Saccharomyces cerevisiae S288C: one gene and its partners. The gene in region 3 interacts genetically with the main gene of each other region. Each region holds a gene or a part of one and is shown on either strand. Other genes may lie near its edges. The genes, in order: PFF1, YMR187C, MAK11 and CPR2.

Evidence for each region.
Region 1: mutations in MAK11 (region 3) and PFF1 together harm fitness less than expected from each alone (positive genetic interaction), as found in Saccharomyces cerevisiae (one large-scale study listed by BioGRID).
Region 2: mutations in MAK11 (region 3) and YMR187C together harm fitness more than expected from each alone (negative genetic interaction), as found in Saccharomyces cerevisiae (one large-scale study listed by BioGRID).
Region 4: mutations in MAK11 (region 3) and CPR2 together harm fitness less than expected from each alone (positive genetic interaction), as found in Saccharomyces cerevisiae (one large-scale study listed by BioGRID).

The regions. Positions count from the first base shown.
Region 1 is NC_001134.8:384,609-389,791, reverse strand, and holds PFF1 (Pff1p), read right to left. Parts: upstream 3,507-5,183; coding exon 576-3,506; downstream 1-575. Other genes in the region: DNA-dependent ATPase RDH54, read right to left, coding at 3,804-5,183. UniProt on the Saccharomyces cerevisiae protein: May be involved in vacuolar sorting and osmoregulation.
Region 2 is NC_001145.3:634,183-637,950, reverse strand, and holds YMR187C (uncharacterized protein), read left to right. Parts: upstream 1-1,966; coding exon 1,967-3,262; downstream 3,263-3,768. Other genes in the region: GCV2 (glycine decarboxylase subunit P), read right to left, coding at 1-451; mitochondrial 37S ribosomal protein uS17m MRPS17, read left to right, coding at 947-1,660; Hsp90 family chaperone HSC82, read right to left, coding at 3,479-3,768.
Region 3 is NC_001143.9:396,844-400,682, forward strand, and holds MAK11 (Mak11p), read right to left. Parts: upstream 1,908-3,839; coding exon 501-1,907; downstream 1-500. Other genes in the region: anaphase promoting complex subunit CDC16, read right to left, coding at 1-405; SPT23 (Spt23p), read right to left, coding at 1,989-3,839.
Region 4 is NC_001140.6:217,660-220,595, forward strand, and holds CPR2 (peptidylprolyl isomerase CPR2), read right to left. Parts: upstream 1,185-2,936; coding exon 567-1,184; downstream 1-566. Other genes in the region: RSC30 (Rsc30p), read right to left, coding at 1-175; mediator complex subunit MED6, read right to left, coding at 1,338-2,225; mitochondrial 37S ribosomal protein mS41 FYV4, read left to right, coding at 2,449-2,841. UniProt on the Saccharomyces cerevisiae protein: PPIases accelerate the folding of proteins. It catalyzes the cis-trans isomerization of proline imidic peptide bonds in oligopeptides.

The DNA of each region.
Region 1 (5,183 bases), on a different chromosome or scaffold from region 3:
GCTTTTGGACAAAGCGATATATTAAAATAACTTAAATATCCGCTTAACCAAGCTCTTGATCCAAACGATATCCGGCTATAGTCAATCACAATCCCTGAAGAACCATTTCCAAGACCATTATCTTTATACTTAATAAATATATAGATTTACAGGTTATTTGTATATCGCTAGCATTATTGCGTGCTATTTTCTAATAGTTACTGGAGGGTTATATAATTTAGGACTTTATAAAAACGAGCATTGTATGCACTTGCAGCAGTGTAGAACTTATCTGACGAAACATGTTTCTTACTTTGTTAACTGATATCATTAGTGATTTTCAATACCGTCTGAATATCCACTATAGCTGTCTTTAGCGCTACGAAGAGAGCACCGTAGAATGGTTCCAGACGGATTCTTGGCCAGTAAAGTACATTCATAAGTTAAACTCAATAGTTTTTCCTTTTGTTACGAAAAATTTCTCAAAATATTTTTTATTATTTTGTTCTTCTTGTGGGAAGAAGCGAAGCCTTTGGACAACTCCCCCAGTAGGCGAATTTGAGTTTATAAAAATTTACATTTAAAACTAATTAGAATTATAAAATTATAGCATCCTTGACAATAACTAATCCTTTCTGTTCGTTGGTAAAGGAAAAACTTAGAGGTGCGTAATTTATCAATTCATCAAATGCTGGAATTTTCCTAACAGCGGTACCATTTACAACCGATTCCGAATCATATTCTCCCCAATAACAGCTAATAGAAACAGACAGTTCGTCTTTTGTCCCCAACTTGTCATCCTCTACATTTCCATCCGTCAAAAGTTTTGGAAACCACTGGACTCCGATATGGTAAGTTTCCTGATCGAAATCAAGTTTATGCAATTGCAGTTCGTTTATGCCAGAAGCAGACTTGATCGTCTTCGTGATATTAGCTTTCTGTGGGGCCGAATTTTTCTTTTGATATACCGTGATTTCTCTGACAGGTGACTTCGCCTGATGTCTACTTTCAAAAGTTAAAGTGCAAGCCCTGTTCTCCTTCACCTCCAAAAGTAACTCTGCAACTATTGGTTCGTAAGGAGATCTCTCTGTTGAGTTTCGGTTATTATGTAAAACATGAACCTTGACCATACTGCTGATGTTCGTATTTCCATTCGTGCTCAATAAATTAGGTTGCATTCCATCATACATACAAAGTTCCATTCCATTGGTTACGGAAGTACAGTTAATATGTGTAGAGCTATATTTTATACTTGGTAAATCTTGCAGCATAGGTTTTAAAAAATTTCCTTCTCTTCCAAGGACATGTACACTGGCAGCGTTCCCTTGAGACAAATCAATATTTTGAGAAAACCTTACTTTTAATGGGTTACTATTGGTAAAGGGGTGCACTAGGAGCGTTTTGGATGCGGAAATCAAGAAAAGCAGTGCAGTTAAAGAAATTGTGATATAGTTGACCTTATAGAAAAAAGGTAAAATTGGTAGCGCGATCAAAATACTGCCCACCATTCCGAACCTGAGTACATCAAATGTAGCCTTACTTCCTTCCTGGACAGTATGGTTTAGTGCGTCCATGATAACATCCACACTGTTAAACAAAATAAATGATGGTATTGGTACAATTAGCAAAAATTGAATGATCCAGGCATAATCGGTATACTCAAGTTTTAGAGAATTTTCTCTAGTACTCAATCCTTCCTCCATGCTATTAGACCCCTTCAGTAATGGTACCCTTTCATCATGTTGTTGTGACGATGAATCCATACCATGATCCTCGTCAACATTATGTGATGGGCCAGCTGAAGTAGTTGACACATTATCATCTTGGATACTTGCTTGATCGTCTTGTGACGATGTAAGTTGATCTTGGGGTTGTTCCAAGTTTTCCTGACCGTCTCGTTCCATATCTATTTGAGAATGGGAGCTGTAATTGGAGTGATGGTCCCTACATTCTCTACCAAGCCTCTTCCTTGTTCTCATTCCCAACGCTAGTGCAAGTAGTCTCAATATAGCAGCTATTGTGCTCAGAAGAAAGAAAATCGAGAGAGGATAAAGCCCGGTATACCTATAGTCGGAACTATACAATAACTTCGACGTAAAAAGTAAAATGGTCCATAAAATAATGAACAATTCGATAATTGATAGGCTTTTCATATCGGCACAGGGGAAAAAAAAATTGGAGCAATTAATCAGAACATAACTGGTAAAAATTACTTGAGTGAAAAAAGCCGAGATAGGCCAAAAGTAGTTCCTTGAGAACGTCAAAGGATTGGAACGAATTATGTCGTTAGAGAAAAGCTTTTGGACAATAATACCAGCGGCTAATGAAAGAGGAAAGCGTGTCCACGATAGCCATGAATAAGATTTCCAAGTCATTCTATCACGAGAAATTAAATACAAGCCAATGGCCACAACGGGTGAAACTAATAGAAATATGCAGTTCCAATAGAAAAGCGTTTTAGCGCTTATAACGAAAAACTTCAAACCGATAAAATCAAAATAACAAGCCGGCGTTTGGTCAGCTGTATCCAATGAATTAGAAGCCACATATGCACTTAATTGTAAGGAAGTATGTAGCATATGCCATAAAGATGCCTTGGAGGTATATTGTATTGAATCCTTTATGGTATGATAAAGGTTTCTCGGTTTGTAGAATGCGACATCCCAGCCTCTCATGCCATTTTCTTCGTAAATCTTGTAGTCTGTCTCACTCCTGACATATCTGCTATAAAAACCTTGCTGGTAGATAGAGTTACCAAATGGATTTTCCTTAACAGACTGTTGGTATATTCTTGCTGTTGAAGTATCTGAAGTTCGGAACAGTACAGCTTTACCACCAGCACCAGTTCCCTCTAAATTTATCACATACTTGGTTAAATTAGACCATGAGTGATCAAAATAAGTTGATGCACCTAGTAGGCCAAACTCTTCATTATTATTAAAGTTGAAAATTAAAGTCCTGTTCGGTCTGTGCTTTATATGGTACTTGAGGTTCGCTAGTAAAGACACTACACCCATGCCGTCATCGGTAGCTCCATATCCTGTGGGTACAGAGTCGAAATGAGCTGAAAGAAGTAACCCTTCTTCCTCAGGATTTTTACCCTCAAGCTTAACTAATATATTAGAAGATTCAAAATATGTCACTCTCGAAAACCTAGATGACTCATTGAAAGGATCTTGTTGCTGAAATAATATGGATCTCTCGCTTTCTTTGTCATCTGAAACACTTGCAAACGAAGAATTCCCTGTAATTTCAAGAACCCTTTTGAGCAAGTAATCATGTACTTTATCATTTTCTTTGGACGTGTACGGATGAAAAGAGGCCGTGATAATCTGTAAGTCCCCCCATGCTGTTTCTAATAAGTCATTGAATTCAGGGTGCTCATCCTCTTTTGGTAGATTGAGTTTATAACGTTCATGATCAAAGATATAGAGTAACGTAATAATCGAATAGGTGATTAATAGAAGCAAACTCAAATTTGTTTTCCGGTACTTTAGAACTGATCTGAATACACTTTTTAATTTCATGCCGTGATTCTTTAACTTTACCTATCAATTTATTTCCTTGTAGATAATTTTTCACATTATTTTTTTTTTTTTTTTTTTGGGACTAAAGGCTATTCAAATCTTTCAGATGTTTGATTTGCGCCCGCAGCGTATCGTTATCAAATTAGTGAAAACGTGGATATCAACTTGAATCAGCAATAGGCCCTACTTAATATGTGACTTGAACCTGAATGAGTCGTGCAAGAATAAACCTATTAAATACAATCAGTGATTAAATAATAGCTATTTTATTTAGTATATAAGTGTCCATATTTGGCGTCATTGTTCTCTGAGACATATCTCGCCGGGCTTTACAAACGCAAAGGTAATACTATCTTTCAATTCGGTGAACGAATCTGTGATAACCTCATCAAATAATTCATCTTGTCTTGCTGGATCGATATGCTTATAATGAACGAGACATTGCCTAATGTATTGTGACTTTTTGGCATCATCGTTGGTGGCTGCTTCATTCATTTTCTTTTGTAAATCCAGCGCACTTGTCCATGTCGTAGTGCTACGCTTTCTCAGCTCTACGGTGTTCTGCTGTTGATTTGTTTCAGGATATTCAATTTCCTCACCTAAACCATCGCAAGAACAAATTAAGTCATGTGTGTTACTCTTGGTATCTGTATGGACAGAAAACAGGTCCTTCAAGTCCTCTTTATTGAAAAGATCATCATTAGAAGATTCTTTATTTCTCATCTCCGAGTCACCTAGAAATTTTTGGCTCAAACTGTTCTTCATTAATTGCCTTTGCAATATTTTCTCATCGATACACCCAGTTGTGACAAGTCTATATATGAAGCACGGCTTTTTTTGACCATCTCTATGAATTCGTGACATCGCTTGCAAATCTACTGAAGGATTCCAATCATTATCAAATAAAATAAGTCGCGAAGCACCGACTAGATTCAATCCTACACCTCCCGATTTTGCACTCAACAAGAATCCAAATATGGCTGGATTCCGATTGAAAGATGTGACGATAGAGTCCCTTTGTTTAGCAGGTATGGAACCGTCGAGTCTGCAATGTGACATCCCAGCCATATTCATCAAATTTTCAATTATATCCAATGTTTGAGTGTAGTTAGACACTACGACGACCTTCTCCTTGGTACCCTTCCTAATACCTTCTAGTAATGTCATTAATACCTTTAACTTACCAGAGTTCAAAGAACGACTATAGCTGTCCTGAGATTGGGTATCCTTTATATGTGATTTGTAATAGGGATCTGAGCCAACCAATCCAGGAGAGTTACAAACCTTTTTCAGTAATGTTATTAGTCCTAGCGAAGAACTGAACGTCAATTGTCCAAAATCTAAACGTGCGCCCTGCAAAATATCTTTGAATGCCAATATCTGTTGGCTGTATGGTTTACAGAATAAAATTATATCCGTCTTTGGAGGAAGGTACTTTTCTAAAATCGCATTTGTTCGTCTCAAAATAAATCTTTTCGTAATTTCTATCATCTCTTTTGACCTTTCTTCCCCCTTTTCCAACAATTCTTCGTTGTATCTGTTTGCAGTGTCTCTGGCTCTAGTTATAGGGATAATGAATCTTCTTTTGAAAGAAGCGAAGCTTCCAAGGATTCCTGGGTTTATGAAATCTATAATAGTGAAAAACTCATTAAGATCATTTTGTATAGGAGTTCCCGT
Region 2 (3,768 bases), on a different chromosome or scaffold from region 3:
AAATCGTACCGTAGTAACCCTTACCTATGAAATTTTTAACTTTATAGTGGTTCTTATTGGCAATCTTTTCTAGATGTTGAAGCATTTCTTGTTCACAGAATCCCTTACTAGGAGCTTCTAGTTTCAAGGGTCTTCTCTTCAAAATATTGGGAGGAACGAGCTCTTCTATAAATGCGTTTAAATCGCTATAACCCATTGTTTTTAACATTTTCTTAACGTCGCTAGGAGAAGGACCTAAATGACGTCTAGCAAAAGTATCTAGCGGTCTATCAATGTTTTTCAAGTCAGGATTGAAAATCCTGCTGTACTGTGTAGACGTTATGTCTGTAGCGGCTGTTTTGAGCAAAATAGATTGAGAATGGAATGATCTAGTCCTCGCTAATGAAACATAATTGGTGCTTGACCTGACAGTAGCCCTACAAAGGAGAGCAGTCACTCTTGTCCTAAGCATGTTATCTTCCTGGTATTAGGAAACGTTTTTCCAATAAACTGTGGTTAGTTGATGGTTAGATCGCGCAGCAATCAATACAGTAAGATTGGTACACACGAGAAAGACTAATTCACTGGAACTTGAAGAGAAGAAAATTGTGCCACTCGAGCCTGCTATATATACATCCATTTATATTCGTTGGAGATCTTTCGACTAGCTTATCAAGGTCCTTCACAGCTCAATGCTGACTTCGATGACTCCTCTGAGAGTCATGACTCCGAAAAGGAGGAGTCTATACCTCAAGAAGAGTCAGAGATGTCGGGTAACGATTCAACCGGGTAACATGATTGTTATTTCATAAGATTAGAATTCTGAAGCAATTTGGGATTGTGCCAAACCAATGCGAGCATCAAACTGTTAGAGGAAATCCACAAATAAGGCCAAACAGAAGTAAACTCAGGGAGTTGAATTCGGGTTAGAGATTTCAAAAGTCAAATCAAGATCAGTTAAACTGTAATGGCTCGCCAAAATTTTTTAGGCTTGGTCGTCTCCCAAGGGAAGATGCAAAAGACGGTTAAAGTACGTGTAGAAACAAAAGTCTTTAATAAGAAAATCAACAAGGAGTTATTTCATAGAAGAGATTATTTAGTGCATGATGAAGGTGAAATATCAAGGGAGGGTGATTTAGTAAGGATAGAAGCGACGAGGCCGCTTTCAAAGAGGAAGTTTTTTGCCATTGCAGAAATTATTAGAAACAAGGGTCAACAATTTGCATTATACGAATCAGAAGCTCAGTTAAGCGTTGCAAAAGAAGAAGCCCAAAAGGCAAAAGAATTTTTGGATAAAAGATCAGTGAGGGAGAATAAACTAAATGAAAAAACAACCCTTTTACGTGATATTAGGACCATCCAAGATGCTTTATCTAGCGGGTCAACGCCGAAAGAGTTATTGGAGATTAAACAAAGGTACGGCATTCAAGATTTTTCACAAGAAACAGTGAGGCAACTTTTACAGTTAGACATCTCTGGATTGGAGGTTAATTTGGAGAAACAAAGAAGTCTCATTGATCGTATTCAAACGCGATTATCCGAATTGTTGTCGAATGATCTAAAATGTGATCAATTTTTGAAGGATCATGGTGTTGAGGATCCTTTGACCTTGAAAAAAAACATCAAAAAAAATTTGTTAAGAAAGCACGTCATGATGGATATGCAACAACCAAGCCAGTAAATAAAAGAAAGAGGAAAGCCGAGTGTCATATTTTCTCAACTAAAGCACTACACTCTGTAAATATATACAACTACAAGACTTCGTTACGTAAATAGTAAAGTGTTATGTTTTGACTTTAAAATATTCTAGTGAAAAGAACGATGTTTTTGATTTTCTATCGTTTAACGCATTTATATATTTTCAGGCAAGTGATATCGAAGATGTGAGTACATCGCTCGTCCCCATCGTCAAAAACAAAAGTAAATAAAAGAGCTCTGCTCTGATTTTACAAACAAGAAAATTCCAAGGAAATAGTCCAAGTTTTATATGACCCCACCTCATTTTTTTTTATCTCTCATAAAAAAAAGATGCATATGCTGGATATGTTTGGAAGAATCCACATATGACTCTACATGGCTACAGCACACGTGCGGTTGCAACTTACAAATTCATAAACGCTGCTATATAAGATGGCTCTATCAAATGCATGTTGAACTTTTTCTTCCGAACACAGTGGACCTACCAAAGGATGCTGATTTACCTATAATCACCTGTTTAAAATGTCTCGTTGATGGGCACCATGATTTTATGACGACTTTCTCTCTTACAGAAATATGGGAAACTCGTCCCATTTGGGGGCAAAAATCAGTACCGTTTCAAAATGACTACGTGTTCAATCTAATGTCTCTTTATACCAAACGGGATAATCATCCACCTTATGTGTTAGTGAAATTTGGCGAATGTCCTCAATGCAAGAAAACAAATTTCATAAAAAGACCTACAGTAACCATCCAGTCTTCTGTACTATCCCTGTTTTATCAGTGGCAAAAAATTACACGATACGTGATACCATTAGGGATAACTAGTTTATTTCTTTTAAACCCTGAAAAGACAAGTTTTGACATTGGATTATGGCAACTACGCTGCCTTTTCCCTGAGAATGTTCTACGAAATATGTTAAACATCAGCACTACAAAGGCATTGGACGTATATGCGCAAACTGAACGTGGCTTATTAAGCATTCCTTTAACCTCCTCGATCATAATATATGGGTTCATACATTATCTTAGCAACATTTCTAACGTCAGTGCTAATGCAATACTCTTTAAGTGGGTGTATCTCAGTATTGTAAAAACTGCTGGAAACAAATATTACAAGGGTATAGGTTTACCTAAAATAATTTTGTATTCTAACTTGGCTACATTTTGCTATAATTTTACCTTTAAAAGATTGGTTGACTTAATTTACAGGAGGCTGATCAATAAAGGAGGTAAGTATTTGTATCACGGAAATTTTGAAAACTCTAGTAATAGCGTTCCAGCTGAGGAATTTTTTATCAGGCGGAATTGGTATGCTATTCTTGCAGAAAAGATACTATGGCCCTTTGTTGGTAAATGTACAGGAGGTCTTCTATTGAATGCTTTTCTATGGATACAGAGAAAGTTTAAAATTGAATGGACGCCGAATTGCTCCCCTTCGGAATTTAGAATGATTTTCAATATTATAGGTTGTGGTACTGCTGCTATAGGCTGGTCAAGTCTGAAGCTCTATGCCAGTTACAAAAGATGTCAGGAACTTGAAAAGATCAATGAATTTATTGAACAAAGTTGCAAAGGTGAGTAAATAAGTCATTCGTAAGTGTACACTAAACTTTAAGGACAGCTGGTAGGACAATTTTATGGTCATTTGACAGCTGATGTCTTAAATTGTGTGCTATGGTTCATGTTTACATTAAGACCAACTTTTTTAAAGGCGCGTAAAGCAGAATCATTATTACAAATAGTAAAAATAAGTAAACAAATTTATATAATATATAAAACATGAAGGCGAAAAAAGAGATTAATCAACTTCTTCCATCTCGGTGTCAGCTGGAACCTCTTCAACTGGAGCTTCGGTAGAAGCTTCTGGAGCGGTTTCTGTTTCTTCATCCTCATCAATGTTCAAACCTAAAGAAATCAATCTATTTATTCTTGATGCAAAAGAAGTTGGTTCTTCCAAACTGAAACCAGAAGTCAACAAAGCGGTCTCGAATAATAAGTTAGTCAAATCTTTGACGGTCTTATCTTGTGCACCACCCTCATCAACTCTCTTTTTCAATTCCTTAATAATTGGAGATTTTGGAGAAATTT
Region 3 (3,839 bases):
CACAACATTGCCCGTAATGGAATTGGAATTAGAATTAGAATTAGCAGATGGCTGGTGCGGAGTCATAATATTCGCTTGCAACTTCTGTATTAAAGGGCTATTTGCTAACGACTGGTAGGGACTCGTAGCCGTATTGGTTCTGTTCCAGGGTTGCTGCAAACGATCATTCTGAGCATCGGTTGGTAAACTCTGTTGTGTTCTTGCTGCAGATACGTTAGAAACAAATGGCGAGGCGGCCAATGTAGAATTATGTTGTGAATGTTGCTCCGAAGGCGACATGGGGTTTCTCATAAGTACCCTGTTTGACGATTTCAAGTTTGATGTGGCTTTTGATGACTTGTAATAATGTGTAGCCTTTCCACAAATAACGATATAACAATGACAGCAATAAAGACAAAACTTCATATCATCTTTAACGATTAAGATAAATTATTTTATATTATACATATAAACTAACTTTAGTACGCAACAATTCTGAGCTGCACGCATGTATAAGGCGTTTATTCAAGTTCTACTGATACTTTACTCTTCTTCAATTGCTTCCGCTTCTTTTTATTGAGTTTCTTCTTCTCACCAAACATTATCTTCTTTAATTCTTCGGTATCACTTTCCACCTCACTTTGGTCACCTATATCAGCTGTTTCAGCATCCCTCTTCTTCATTGTGTTGTATTTCTCAATGCTTTCATCGCATAGCGTTAAGCAATTTAGCCTTTCGCCACAGTCGTAGACTGCTACTTGTTCTTTTGTAGACATATCCCATACGACAATTTTACCATCAGAACCAATGGTGACTAGGTAGGTACCAAATTCATTCGTATAAAACTTGAAATCTTTAATACGGTTTGTGTGACCCAATAAAGAAAAAGCGGGGCTGATATCCTCCTTGTCGTCATCATCTTCCTGCTTTTCATTTTCTTCAACTTTTTCGAATAACTCCTCACAAGGATAGAAATGAACATTACCATCGCTGATACCAACAGAAAGGTATTCCTTATTATCGAATGGTAAAATATGTGTTTCAATATGCATAAGAGTTTTCCTTTGAAAGACTATTTCTTTAAAAACTTTAGCCGATCCAGTTTCATAAATAAGCACCCTATCCCTTAAACCCACGGCAAAATAATCACCTTTGGCGCCTAACCATCTAACACAAGTCCCGTTTGTATTATATTTTCTTAGTTTTAGTACAGCAGCATTTCTTAGAGTCATCAAATTCCAAAGACGTATAGAATGGTCATCACTAACACTGATGGCAATTCTATTGGTGGGGTGAATATCCACATCATTAACCCTTGCCGTGTGTCCCTTTAAAGTCCCCACTGTTTCCCAGTCCTTTACTCTCCAAACCATAATTTTGTGGTCTTCTGATGCTGATAATAACCATTTGCTATTCTTGCTCCCCTTTGAAACAGCAGCATCCTCACTGGAAGAAGCTGGATGTGAGAATTGTAGAGCAGTAATAGAGCCCTGATGACTTAACAAAGTACCCAGTTCCTTCCTCTTTTGCAAATCATAAATTCTGATGTGCTCGTCATTGGATCCAGAAACTAGGTATCTTCTTGAAACAGCCAAACATTTAATACTCAACGAATGGGCTTGAAAATGAAATATTGGCATAAAATGTGGTGTCTTTGCTGCATCATTTTCCTTTTGATTTGGGATATCTAAGGATAAACACAAAATGTTGTGCTCGTATGAGCCCACAATGATACGAAATTGGTTCTTGTCGCCTATAGCACTCATTTTTCTACACGAATTCTTGACTTGGCCCTTAGGATCTTTTCGAGATGAGGTACCATGAGTTTTCAATTTTTCATGTTCTAAAAAATTTTCGGCCTTGATCTTGAACTTTATAATTCTAAGCAAAAAAAAAATGAAGACAGTATAAGTAGTATTCAGTAACATAAAGAAGATAAAATTCAAAAATGCAAAATAATAAAAAATGAATCTATATAGTGTAAGGATTATGTAGCTAGAAAAATGTCTTTAATTGACTCGCATGTCGTTTAGAATGTTATTGTTTTGAAACTTCGATAACTGCATTTTAAAAGAGGTTTTCATCCTTTCGTTGCCTAGTAGTACCTTGGCTAAACCAATTCTTAAATATTCCTGAACAATTTTGGATAAATTATGAAACATATCATCATCTTTCCCCAAATTCGATAATGTGAAACATAATAAGAGTACTAAAGTTAAGGGGATCCAAAAGAATAGGAGCATCTTATCATTCTGAAAGTTTTGCTTCTTGGAAAAGATTGTGTTGAACCCGACCTGTAAAGCTTCTAATTCATCGTCTTCAGAAGAAGTTTGAGAATCATCCACGGTCATTTGGGCAGAATTATCTGGCCCAATCTCCACAGATTTGCTACCAAGTTCCCAGTTTTTGGGTTTTTTTGGGAACAAGTCTTCATACTTTGGGAGCTCGTCATTTAAACGAGTTAGCATTCTGTTCCATAAAGATCCGTCAGGCTCTATGCTAGTCTTAGTAGTTTTTGGTATTTCATTTGGCTTTGAAGAGAAGTCCTTGATTTTGTGGGTGTTAAAGAACTCCAAAGCAATCTCATCTGAAGATGATTCACAATCACTTATGTCATAACCTGAATCCGAATCTAGGATTGAGAATGACGTATTGTCATTACAGTTGGATTGTTCGGGGGCAAGGGCAGCGGAATCCGCCAATAAATATTTTCTTTCTTGGACATAGTCATGATCAGCATCGTCATCATCAAATAAACTTGAGTTGAAACTTGACTGGGATACATTTCTCTCAAACGGTTGAGTATCACTGGATCCTGTTGTATTCTTCGTTAATCTAGTCAGAATGTCGTCAAACAGACTGGTTTCATAATTAGAATATCTGGTCTTGTTGACAGTATAATTCATCAGGAAGAACTGTTTAGCGATAAAGCCGTTTCTGGTTTTCTTCATAATATTAACGTTGCATTCTAACAATAGTCTTATAATTCTCAAGTCACCATTAATACACGCCATATGTAGCGGAGTAAAACCAAATAAATCTTGGTCGTTCAAATGCGACCCATATTTGATTAGTAATGAGACAAGACTATACCAGTTATTGAATGCTGCCAGATGTAATAGAGTTCTACCCCTAACGTCACACATGGAAAGATTGACGGTAGAGAGATTATTATTTCTCTTAAATGACTTAATAACTTCAGTGATCAATTGTTCATCGTTTATATTTCGCATCATATTCGTGTACGAATTTAAAGAGCTATTCTGTGAGTGTAATCCTGCGTTATTATTAGATGGAGATGAATCACTGCCAACAATCCTTTTAGCAATATTTCTTGCATCTTCCAGTTTACCGTTCATTTTCAGCCCCACAATTTGCAGAGCCAATTCAATTAGTTGCCTATCAGTATCATCAACATAAGTAAAGATTGCTTTCTCACCGGTATACTTGTTTAAGTGCAGAATGTCATTGGTACTATTGCTGGTGGAAACACTACTATTGCTATTATTTCTCATAGACGTTTCACTTGGGTCGACTATGGTTACCAAAACCGGTCCAGGTTTAGATGAAGGCGGTAAATAAGTCACCATCGTAGATTCATTCCAGCATTGGCTGGACAATGCTATATTTTCGCCAAACTTGATGATTAAGCCCTGCTTAAACTTTGAGCCAAGTAGAGTCACTTCTATACCTCCGTTGATGGAACCTTGTGCGGGGATGACACGCTGAATAGAAGGCTTGTTATTTAGCGCCACGGGGACACTATTATGGTTCGATATATCTTTGGAAGAATCGATGAATTTCTGGGGAAGACGGGAAAACGTATTAGGCGTAGACATAAAAGGCTCGTTTACCGAACG
Region 4 (2,936 bases), on a different chromosome or scaffold from region 3:
ACGCAGAGGGCACAGCGACCATCTTACCAGGTCCATCTGGATAAAAACAGTCCGGCTTGTTATACTTGACGCAATTCCCACATATCGGTTTTGCCCTGTCGCACCCGATCTTTCTCTTCCTGCATTGGGTGCAAGCAGGCGGCTTCCTCACTTTTCTCACTTGCATGTCCATCATGATTAAAAACAAACGGCAAAGCTACGCACTAGTCACAGCAGACAACGACAATGCTCCTCTCATAAATTGCTAAGATACATTAAAAACAACAACTCTCTTCTTGTTCTTCCTCTCTTTGCATCATTCCTGCAAAATATCACACTACACGAGCTAGGATGTATAACCATCCTTAGTAGGACGCCAAGGTTATATTCAAAATGATATGATTTCCCCAATTAATACTTGCTGTTGCATTTTGAATCGGATGTAACTGGGACTAATGCTGCGCTAACCAGACGTACGTTCCGGTGGTCACAGTGCGGAACTGTTCCCACGTTCTCTAGTTAATTTACCTTTAACTATACATACTGAAATTGATATCTATGTATATAGTATGAAATATTGCATATACTCAAGAAGAGAGCTCAGGCGTCCACTCACCGCATTTTGCGATCTTGACCGCCTCGAGAGGTTTGTCATTCGCATCTCTGGACACGTGCTGTATGTAGTTCACCACATCCATGCCGTCCACAACCTGTCCAAATACCACATGCTTTCCATCGAGCCACGACGCTTCTTCCGTAGTGGTGATGAAGAACTGAGATCCATTGGTATCTTTACCACGATTAGCCATCGATAGTCTGCCCTTGCGATCATGCTTCAAAGTAAAGTTTTCGTCAGGGAAAGTATCTCCATAGATGGATTTGCCACCAACGCCAGTGCCGTCTGTGAAGTCCCCTCCCTGTACCATGAAGTTGGGAATCACCCTATGGAAAGTGGACCCGATGAACCCCTTTTTGGAATTAGTGGTGGTGCTTAACTTGTAGAAGTTCTTCGCCGTCTTAGGACATACCTTTCCGTACAACCCAATAACGATTCTGCCAACTTTCTCTTCACCATGTTCAATATCGAAAAACACCTTTTGTGTAATTACTTCGTCGTCCTGATCAATCAACTCACCCACATCAGATGCAATAACATTAACGCTAAGGAATAATAACAACCAACACCACAAGCCACTGAATTTCATTTTGTTTTCCCTTCGTGTCTTTTTCCTCTCATTTCTTTCCTTTTGGGGGAACTTCTTATGATGGGTACATCGATTTTTGAAGAAAACTGAAAAGTTGATTTCGCGGGGTTTTATAATATAGTACAAAGATATATGCAATTGCCATGGCAGTTCTCATATGTAGTTTGGGGTGGATCGAATGCTTGTGACCATTAATTTGTCCAACATCTCTGTAGTTATACCCATGTTACCGTTGCCAGTACGACCGGTACCGTTGTCTATAGTTTGTCCTCCTGTACCCATAGTGTTGACTGTCATGTTGACATTTGTGGTTGAGGGAACAGTCGCCATATTGGCACCGCCGGTAGGTCGTACACTGCTCTTGTTACTGCCCCCTCCAGCGTTGTTCCCGTTGGTGGCAGCCGTTGCAGTCGTGCTAGTGTCCGTAGGTACTTTATAGTGTACTCCTTGGGAAGGTTGAAACTCAATCAAGTCATACAAGCTCTCCAATGTGCTATTTAGATGGTAGCTCGTGGACATCAGCCTACTTTGCACAATTTTAAAAATTGTTGGCGATTGGTAAATGTTTGCACCAATTATGTAGTAGTCTTGCAATGGAATAATCTCTGGTCCCTTAGCGCTTCCCACACCAGAATTGTTTGTTCGTCTTTGCTTCCTGATAACCCAGAAGTCAGGCTCTCTTACGCTGCTCAATACGTATTCAGTACCATCTAACTTCATTAATTCCTCCTCCAGTTGCATATACATAGGATACTTGAAAAGGATTTGTCTTCTTGCCGGATCCACATAGGCAAACTCCTCTTCCAAGTTTCCATTCTTCCCATCTGGTAAGGTCATTATGTTTTGTGTCATATTCACGGCAGCATTAGGATCATTTAACTGGGAAAACTGCCTTTGCATTTTAATTACCTGATTATTCGACGTCTTATCGAAAAATGGTGATTCTGCAAAGTAATCAAGAACATTCTCAGTTCTCAAACCAAAAACTTGAATCCATTCTGGAGATTTCCATTGCAATTCATCCAACGGTGTCACGTTCATTTTGCGAAATCCTGCTTTGTTTCACTACTTGCAACTTTATATTCAGAGGTCTTCTCATCGTTCCACATTTTTCCACTCATTATTTATAATACGCTCATTATGTTAACCAAAAAAAATAATGCAGCCAGGCTTGAAATAATTCTGCCATCTTCAAACAAGAGCTATAAAACCAAAGAAAACTTGACCAAACAATAACAAACCTTCATTCAACACACGTTTTACTATGATACCTTCCCGGATTAGCCACAAATTTCCTCTATTCTTAAGGAGTTCGCTGGCCGCTCCTAAAGCTGCCTATCGTTTCAGTTCGACCATCCCCAAACCAAGCGATCAGGTACCTGACGTAGATGCATTTCTAAACAAGATCGGTCGAAATTGCAACGAATTGAAGGATACTTTCGAAAATAACTGGAACAACCTTTTCCAATGGGATTCTAAGATATTGAAGGAAAAAGGCGTGAATATTCAACAAAGGAAATATATACTGAAACAAGTTCATAACTATCGTAACAATAGGCCAATTCATGAAATTAAACTGGGCAAGAAGTCATTTTTTGGTGGTGAGAGGAAGAGAAAGGCATTTACTGCTAAATGGAAAGCTGAAAACAAGCAATAGACGCTTTCGCAAGATCTCAATATATACATGTATACGTATATGTTCACATTATACTCCATATTCTTGTAAATATATAATAAACTCAGAAATTGTTG